Linked DNA regions of Coturnix japonica. The protein of the gene in region 2 binds, or shares a complex with, the protein of the main gene of each other region. Links are inferred from orthologs where the notes say so. Each region holds a gene or a part of one and is shown on either strand. Other genes may lie near its edges.

What was found.
Region 1: the proteins of NR5A2 (region 2) and NR0B2 are in contact, whole or in part, in a crystal structure (PDB 1YUC), measured with the Homo sapiens proteins. The link is inferred for Coturnix japonica from reciprocal best matches to the Homo sapiens genes NR5A2 and NR0B2. Residues at the interface, in NP_995582.1 of Homo sapiens: Phe354, Val357, Arg361, Phe366, Val371, Asp372, Gln374, Met375, Leu378, Gln379, Asn529, Asn530, Leu531, Glu534, Met535; in NP_068804.1 of Homo sapiens: Arg17, Pro18, Ala19, Ile20, Leu21, Tyr22, Leu24, Leu25, Ser26, Ser27, Ser28.

Annotation. Positions count from the first base shown.
Region 1 is NC_029538.1:1,621,920-1,626,381, reverse strand, and holds NR0B2 (nuclear receptor subfamily 0 group B member 2), read left to right. Parts: upstream 1-1,621; 5' UTR 1,622-1,801; coding exon 1,802-2,327; intron 2,328-2,764; coding exon 2,765-3,045; 3' UTR 3,046-4,023; downstream 4,024-4,462. UniProt on the Homo sapiens protein: Transcriptional regulator that acts as a negative regulator of receptor-dependent signaling pathways. Specifically inhibits transactivation of the nuclear receptor with which it interacts.
Region 2 is NC_029523.1:1,557,169-1,560,970, forward strand, and holds part of NR5A2 (nuclear receptor subfamily 5 group A member 2), read right to left. Parts: intron 1,195-3,802; coding exon 1,057-1,194; intron 1-1,056. UniProt on the Homo sapiens protein: Orphan nuclear receptor that binds DNA as a monomer to the 5'-TCAAGGCCA-3' sequence and controls expression of target genes: regulates key biological processes, such as early embryonic development, cholesterol and bile acid synthesis pathways, as well as liver and pancreas morphogenesis.

The DNA.
Region 1 (4,462 bases), on a different chromosome or scaffold from region 2:
GCGGATTGGTCGAGGCCGTAGGCGGGATGGAGAGGCGGGAAGAGTGGAGCGGGGCTCGGTTGCTATGGAGACGGCTGGGCCTGGGCCTAGGCCTTTCCAGAAGGCTCCATGGGGTCGCCTACATCCGGGTACTTTACCCTTGGCTTTACCTGTATCTCCTCCACAGACACCACACAGTTCAAAGAGCCTCTAATCCAGGCCTAAGCAGCACAAAGAGCCTGTAATCTGCAGTATGGACAGGCTATGCTGGTCCCTGTGGCTGCTGTAGGCCTCATTGCTGGGTTCACTCCATTGCACTGAGAGCTGTGTGCATTAGAGTGAGTGGTCCTTATCCCCATAGGGTTCCTATTGCTCCATTAAATCAATCAGCAGGTGCTGCCGCTTCCCCAGGCTGACTTGTGTTGGCCGACAAATGCAGGTAGATGGGTGTTTTTTTGGTGAAAAGCCATCAGTGTGGCCATCAGTTCCATCCCATTTGTGCACCAAGAGCTGCGTGCCCTTAAATCACAGAATCAATCACAGAATGACCCGGGTTGGAAGGGACCTCAAGGATCATGTAGCTCCAACCCCCTGCCTGGCAGGGCCATAAAACATACACATTTACTAGATCAGGTTGCCCAGGAGACCCCATAGATCCCCATAGAGACCCCATAGACCCCATAGACCCCATAGAGACCCCATAGACCCCATAGATTCCCATAGAGACCCCATAGACCCCATAGACCCCATAGAGACCCCATAGAGACCCCATAGATCAGGTTGCCCAGGGCCCCGTCCAACCTGGCCTTGAACACCTCCAAGGACGGGGCATCCACAACCTCCCTGTGCAGCCTGTTCCAGGGCCTAACCACTCTCCTAGTGAAGAACTTCCCCCTAACATCCAACCTAAATCTTCCCTCTTTTAACTTAAAACCATTTCCCCGTGTCCTGCCAAATCACTTGTTCCCATCCTCACAGGGTTCACCAGGCACCCCCTGTGTGAGGAATTCCTCACAGGCCCCACTGGAATCCATAATTGTGTGCTGTCATTTAACTAATGCTGATCAAAACATACAAATTCCAGAGCAATTCAAGGTAAAAACCTATAAACCTGCCTCTCACCTACCCAGCATTACTCCTTCAGCACAATGGGCTGCTGCCTTTAGGTTTAGTCTTTCAGTTCACCACCTTCCTTAACTGCAACAACACCGATCTCCTGTCAACAAGGTTAGGCAAACAGCTGCTGATAAAATGACTTCCAGGTTGCTCTTTCCAAGGCCATTTGCCATGGGGTCCTCGCTTCAGACGAACACCCTGTGTGTGTATGTGTGTGTGTGTATGTGTGTGTGTGTGTGAACTCCTTGGCAGCGACAGCTGCCAGATAGCACAACCTGATTGCAGCGTGGGGCCTTGGTGCCATGGTACAGCCCGGGTTAATGACTTTGTTTATACTGTTTGGGTAATTGTGATAAGGCTGCCCAACCCGCTGCCCCTGCTGGGGTTTCATTGAGAAAACGGCCATTGACGCCATGCTGAGATCCTGCTGGTTCCAGCCAATCAGTCTGGGGACAGCTGGGGTTGGTGGCTTTTTTTTTTTGTTGTTTTTTTTCTTCTTTAATGAGGACCGCTTAATCACGGAGCGGTCAAGGCTGGGAAGGGGTGTTCCACTTGTGACCGAGCCTTATAAGAGCTTGTTTGAACAGCCATGTGCTGGCAGAGCTGGGAGGACAGGTCACTCCCAGATTGAGACGGGGAGGAAACTTACAGGTCTCTCCCATCTGCGGAGTTTCACAGAGGATCCGGGGCTCCCAGTTCTGCTCTGATGACCAGCAGCATAGACATGGACTGCGAGAGGTGTCAGTGCCAGCATGAAGACAAACACCCAGCCATTCTCTACACCCTCCTCAGCCAGAACCTGAGCCACAGCCCACCTCACCAACGCTGCCTGTGCCACCAGCGCTGGACGGTCTGCCTCCGGACACCCCATATCACCTGCCAAGCTGCATCCGACGTGTTGGTGAAAACCATCAGCTTCATGAAAAACCTCCCTTCCTTCCACCTGCTGCCTCGAGGGGACCAGCTCCTGCTGCTGGACAGCTGCTGGGTCCCCCTCTTCCTCCTGGGGCTGGTCCAGGAGACGGTGACATTTGAGGTGATGGAGACCCCAGCCCCCAGCATGCTTGAGAAGATCCTCCTCGATGGCCAAAGCAAAAGGCAGGAGCCTGAGTGGACTCAGCCCATGCTGGCCGCTGTGCAGTGGCTGCAGTGCAGCCTCAACACCTTCTGGAGCCTGGACTTGAGCCCCAAAGAATACGCCTACCTGAAGGGAGCCATTCTCTTTAATCCTGGTGAGTGTTCAACCCTCCCAGCTCTGCCTGCTGGTGGCAAGAGAAAGCCCTGCATGAGTTAGCATTTAAAAACACTGCTCTTGGCTTGGAGTCGCTCAGAGTTTGGGCAAAAGTGTGTGTGAGAGCAGGGAGAGCTGCTCACATCATTAGCACCAGCAATGCAGTTTACCTCTGGGAAGCAGGGAGGAGGGATACTGAAAATGTAGTGTTTAAAAGCAGAGACCTCCTTACCTTGCAATCAAAGAACCCTGGGTCTTACTCTACAAAGCCCATGTTTGCTTCATTAGCTGTATTTACTCCCTCAAAGCAACAGCCCTGAAATACATGTTGTTAATGGCTCTGAGGTTTTTCTCCAAGATACGGGGAGAGAGATGGGAGAAACCTCGAGCTGTTTTCCAGCCTTCCTCTTCACATCCTTCCCTCCTTTCTCTTGGCAGATGTCCCAGGGCTGACAGCCTCCCTGTACATCGAGAGCCTCCAGCGGGAAGCCGAGCGAGCGCTTCAGGAAGTTGTGCAGATCCTACACCCCAAGGACCAGGACCGCTTTACCCTCATTTTACTCATCACCTCCACCTTGAAATCCATCCCTCCTGCCCTCATCACAGACCTCTTCTTCCGACCCATCATTGGCAACGCAGACATTGTCGAGCTCATCGTGGATATGCTGTATGAAATCACCAGCTGGCAGCCGGCTCCTTCACCACGCGTGGCTCTGTGAGCTGCTGTGCTCTGCCACAGCCCTGGGGGTGCTCAACAACACCTGGCAGGGCAGCAGGGAGGACTGTGGAGCAGGCAGTCAGGCACTCAGCTCCACAGGGCTTTGCGTGTGCCTCTCTCTAGGCTGTAGGGCTCAGAGCATAAAGGAAAGCAGCCTTGATTCAGCATGGCTGCTCCACCTCTGCCAGTCTGTTTTGAGGAATGTGAGTGTGTGTGGCTGGTGGTACTGAGTTTCTAGCAAGCAGGCCAGCCCTGTGACACAGAGCAGACTGAGTTAGAGCCTGCTCCAGGCTTTTTATATCTCAGTGAATCCTCAGTTCAATTAAAATCAATGTGTGTTTTGTTAACTCCATGAGATGAGGTTGGACCTCAACTTGCTGCCCGTGATGGCTCTGTGCTGATAGTGGTATTTAGGGGTGCTGAGTATCTTCGGTGGTATCACTTGTAGAGTACAACCAGGTGCAAGCCGTAAGGAATTAGATCTTTAAGTATCAGCCAGTGTCTGCTGTGCATGAAATCTCACAGACAGCCACCAAGAATCCTCCTCAGACAGCAGGAGGGAGAAGCATCAGATCTTACAGGGCGTGCAGCCAGCTTCATGAACGCCTCCTGCCTCTCATCACATCGCATCTCCTCCCCACGATGCCATGAGCTGCAACAGGATTGCTCACAGATTGGATTACCTAAGAGCAGTGAAACGTACGGCAAATAACGCTGCATGAACACCACTTCATCCTCCCTATACACCTCAATATATATATGGCAATACTTGGAATGGCTCAGGAACACACTGAGCTACAGACACTGAACAAACATCCCTGCCTTGAGTTCCAGCTGGTTCAACATAGTAGGAAAGCTCGCTTCTCCTGCCTGCAGCTTTTGTCACTGATGTCAGTATTTAATGAGCGGACCTTCATTTGATTTGTACATAAGATGCAGTAAATTATTTTTTTAATAAAAACGTGTCACATTTTGGTGATTTTTTGTTATATTTCTGGCATTTTGGACTTGTAGAAATAGCTGTTGGAGGTACAGTGTGGGAAGGACACCTGAATGCAGGGATGGAGCATCATAGGGAATCATAGGGGAGCATTGCAATGCAGCCCCATGAGCTGTGCTGGGCACACACTGCTCTGTGCACTGAAACCTGCAGAGGCAGCACAACTGCAGCCTGTCTGTGCTGCACCTTCCTTCACGCACACAGCCACACCTGGAGGTGCTGATGCAGGAGGTTGGTGCTGACTCACCTGGATGTGCACACACAGCCCTCAGCCCACAGGAGAACAGCCATACAAAGCCTCCTGGCTCCCCACCACCATAAACACACCGTGTTTGAACAGCAGCCTGCTGGGAGAACTGTGTGCTGCCCATCCGTGCCAACACACAGCAGGTCGCTTCCAAGGGGATCTCAGCCTGAC
Region 2 (3,802 bases):
GAGCGACCGTAGTCCGCCCGAAACGCCCCGCGGAGAGCCCGGCTGGGGGCCGCGGGTGCTGCGCGCCGGGGCATGAACCCGCCGACACGCGGCCGGGGCAGCGGCTCCGGGGCGGCCTCGGCACGGCCGGAGTCACCGCCTGCCAGCGGCGTGGGGCGGACGCGGGGCGGCAGCGGACGGGGGAGGAGAAAGGCCCGGCCCCCTCTCCGCTCCCGCGGCCGCCGCTCCGGGACCCGGCGCTGGGACCGAGTGCTCTGTCCTCGCAGGAGAAAGAAAAAAATAAAGTGGGAAAGCGGGGGCTTTCCGAGCGCTTGGCGGGGAGCCTCCTCTGCGGGCGAAGAAAGGGGCGGGTGGGCCGCCCCTGGCACCTCCGAACCCCCGGCCCACTCCGCCCCTGCTTCCCTGCGGGCTCCCGGGACGACATGGGACGGCTTCCGAAGAGCCACGGGGCAGGACCCGCCGCTCGGGGCATGTAGGGGAGGGAGCGGGCGGCGTCCGCTCACGGGGCTGCGGGAACCGATTCCTCCCCGGCCGGTCGAGGCGCTTCCAGCTCGGGCGTCCCGCCGTCACCCGCGGAGGGACCCGGCACGGTGCACCGCACGCCGGGGTCTTGGCGAAGTTTCGCCCCGCGGCTGCTGCCACCTGCGCTGTACCCGTGGGGTGCCGGCAGCGGCCGTCCCCTCGGACCCCGGGGTTGGCACTCGGGCTGTTCTCCGGGACTTTTCCGTGCCGCTCCTCCGCCGTAAACTTAGCGATAGTTTCGGGCGGAGCGGGGATGGGCCGCCCGCGTCCGTTCCGGCCCACGGCGGTGTCCCCGAGCAGCGACCCGCGAGCGTCTGCACCCCCGGACAAGGCTCCCGCCCGCCGCGGCCGCGCCTCCCGGCCGGGCTCTGCCACGATCCGGCGCCGGTGCCCGCCCGAACCGGGAAGGAGCGAATTCGGAGGAGCTCGAGGGCGGCAGCCCTAAACTTTTTTGGCAGGACGCGGGGGCGGTTTGCAGGGTGGGGAGCCGAGCGTGCGCGGAGGGGGAGCGCCGTGCAGTTCCTGGACCCTTACCTTGCATGTTTTCTGGCATCTGCCCCTGTTCCCCATTCGACCGGGCGAGTCCCAGAGCCTCCGTCTCCACTTTGGGCAGCATGACAAGGCGGCTGCGGGCCGGGCTGGGAGCTCCGTGTCCGTCCGCGGCACCGGCACCTGGACACGGCAGCACAGATTTAGCGGGACCGCGGGGCGCTCGGCGGCCGATGCCTCTTCTTCCTCCTCCTCCTCTTCCCTCCCTCCGCTCCGCGCCAGCCCTTGCCCCGCCGCAGCGGGAGCGCCGAGCGGCCCCGGCCGCCGGGAAGCGCCGCCGGGTGCCCGCGGCCGGGAGAGCCGCGGAGCGGTTGTCGGTCTGCAGGCGGCGGGGGCGGAGAGGAGAGGAGGAGGAGGAGGAGGAGGAAGACCGGGGGGGTGTCGGAGAGGAAGGAGCGACCCCGGGGGCCCGCAGCAGCTCCGCCCGGGGCTCAGCGCGGCGGTAGCCCGGCGCCCCGATCCATGCGGAGAGGCGCAGTGCACGGGAGCGCTCTGCCGCCGCCGGTGCTGCTGGACAGGGTTCCCACCCCCGGCCCCCTCCTCCCTTCCTCCCTCCTCCTCCTCCTCCCCCTTTCCCCCGCCACAAGTGCGGAGGTGCCGAGCCGGGACCTCTCGCCCCGGACCCGTGGGGAGGCGCTCCCGGAGCCTGGGGGCCGCGGGGGGCTCCGGCGAAGGGGGGCACCGACACGGCTCTAGCAGCCAATACGGCGGAGGAGAAACGAGCGACACCCCCGCGCACACACGCGCGCACACACACGCTCGCACACGCTCGCACAGCGTGATCGCCCCCCGCCCGCTTGTTGGCCGGGGCTGCGGGGCCGGGGCTGCAGCCGAACCCGCCCGCTCCAGAACAGCCCGACGGCCCCCAGACCGCCGCGCACCCGCTGCAGCTCCCCTCTGACTCCCGCGGGATCCCCGGCGCTCTCCTGTCCTCCTGCGGGCGGGGACAGGCAGCGGGAACCTCGGCGTCTGGGGATCCCCGGCCCTCGGGACCCGCTGCCGCCTCTCTGCCCCAGAGCCTGAACGTAGCGGGCGGGAGCTCGCCCTGTCTATTCTGTCTCTTTGCGTCTCCTTTCCCTAAAACTTCTTGCGAAATCTATCGCTGCCGGTTGCATCGTTTGCACAAAATCCGATGCTCCGGCCGAGCCATCGCTTGAGCAACCGCTTCCCTTCCTCGGCTCACGGTGCAGCGTGCGGCACCACTCCCCGCGTTATCCCAGATAACTCGTTTCTCTAACGGCGGTGTCTCAGCTGGAGCTGGGCGACCCCGCAGGGCGAGGCGGCCCGTCCCGGTCACGCTGCGGGCACGGCGGGCTCCGGCCGCCCCCACCGGGCGGTGTGGGCTGAGCGTTATTGTCACCTCTGCGAGCATCCGAGACCCCCCTCCCGTGCTGCCCCGGGAGTTCAGTCACCGTTGTGTATATGAAAAGCTGAAAATAGTCGGCGCTGAAAACTGCTTCCGATTGCAAATGAGGCGCGGAACCGTCTGCGGCGCTGGGGACCGCTTTTCCCATCGGATGGGACAGATTTCGGAGCAGTGGACCCGTGCTCGAGCTTAAAGCCGCTTGTGATGAACGAAAGGGAGCGGGGGGGGGTGCATCGCGTGTGCCATATTCTCCACAGTTGGAACTTTCCTCACCCACCGACGGGCAGAGCTTTGCTTAACTGAGTGCAGACCCCGAGCCTGCCTTACACAGACACACAAATGTGTCTGTCATTCCCACTCTGTGCAGGGCGTTGTGGGGCTGGACCCAGCAGGCAGTGAGGCTCGGAGCTTACGGGCTCCTTACGTTTTGCCGTTCCCCTTCGGGATGAAGCCGTACAGGGAAGTTTTGGTCCATGTCACGGCGTTATTGCTCAGGCTGTAACTTCACACCTTAGCATCTCTCCCGCAGCCCGACGCAGAGGCGCGACAAGCCGCGGGACGCGCCAGCGCGGTGCTCAGCGGGGCGGCCGAGAGCTCCCGAGGGGCTGCGCCCATCCCCTGCGAGGAGCGGGCCCGGCCGAGACCGTGCGGCCGCTGGGGAGCATCTCCCCCGGGCCTCAGTCACAGACAAGCCCACGGAACCGCGTTGCCGTGCGTCACCCGCCCCGGCTCCGGGCTGCGGTTCGGCTTTGGCCGGGGCTGAGCGCAGCAACGGCTCCGCTACCTCGGGCGCCCGTCCCGGGACTCGAAGCTCGGGGCTCGGGCCGGGGGCTGCGCTCTGCGGCGAGGCCACGGCTTCGGGCCCGGCGAGAGGGCGGCCCGCTGAGCCGTCGGGGAACCGCCGCTCCCTCTCCTCTCGGTCACGCCGCACGGGACTAAGTCCCGCCGAGGCGCCCCGTGCCGCTGCTCTCGTGAATTCTGCTCTGAGCAAAGCACCTGCGTTTGGGCGAAAGCTGGGGAAGAGAACCCCGCGGGCAGACCAGGCAGAACGGCCGAAATGCCCGCACCCCGGGCCCGGCCCTGCCGGCGGTCCTCGGGGGCTCCGGTCTCGCTCATGGGCTCTGCATCGTTCTGCCGGGCAGGGATTGGGCAGGCTCGAAGTGCGCGCTGCAGTGCTGCTCTGCCAGCCATCGCTACAGATGAACATACTTTGGAGAGCTTATTACATATCCACGTTTCTCCGAAGTAACAGTTTAGGGCAGTACACATTATAAATGATACCTGGTCCCTCGTGGCTACGTTTAATTTAACATGGAGTTCTAGCACTCACGATTGCCTTGAGCAACCTTAATTACCCTTTCTTCT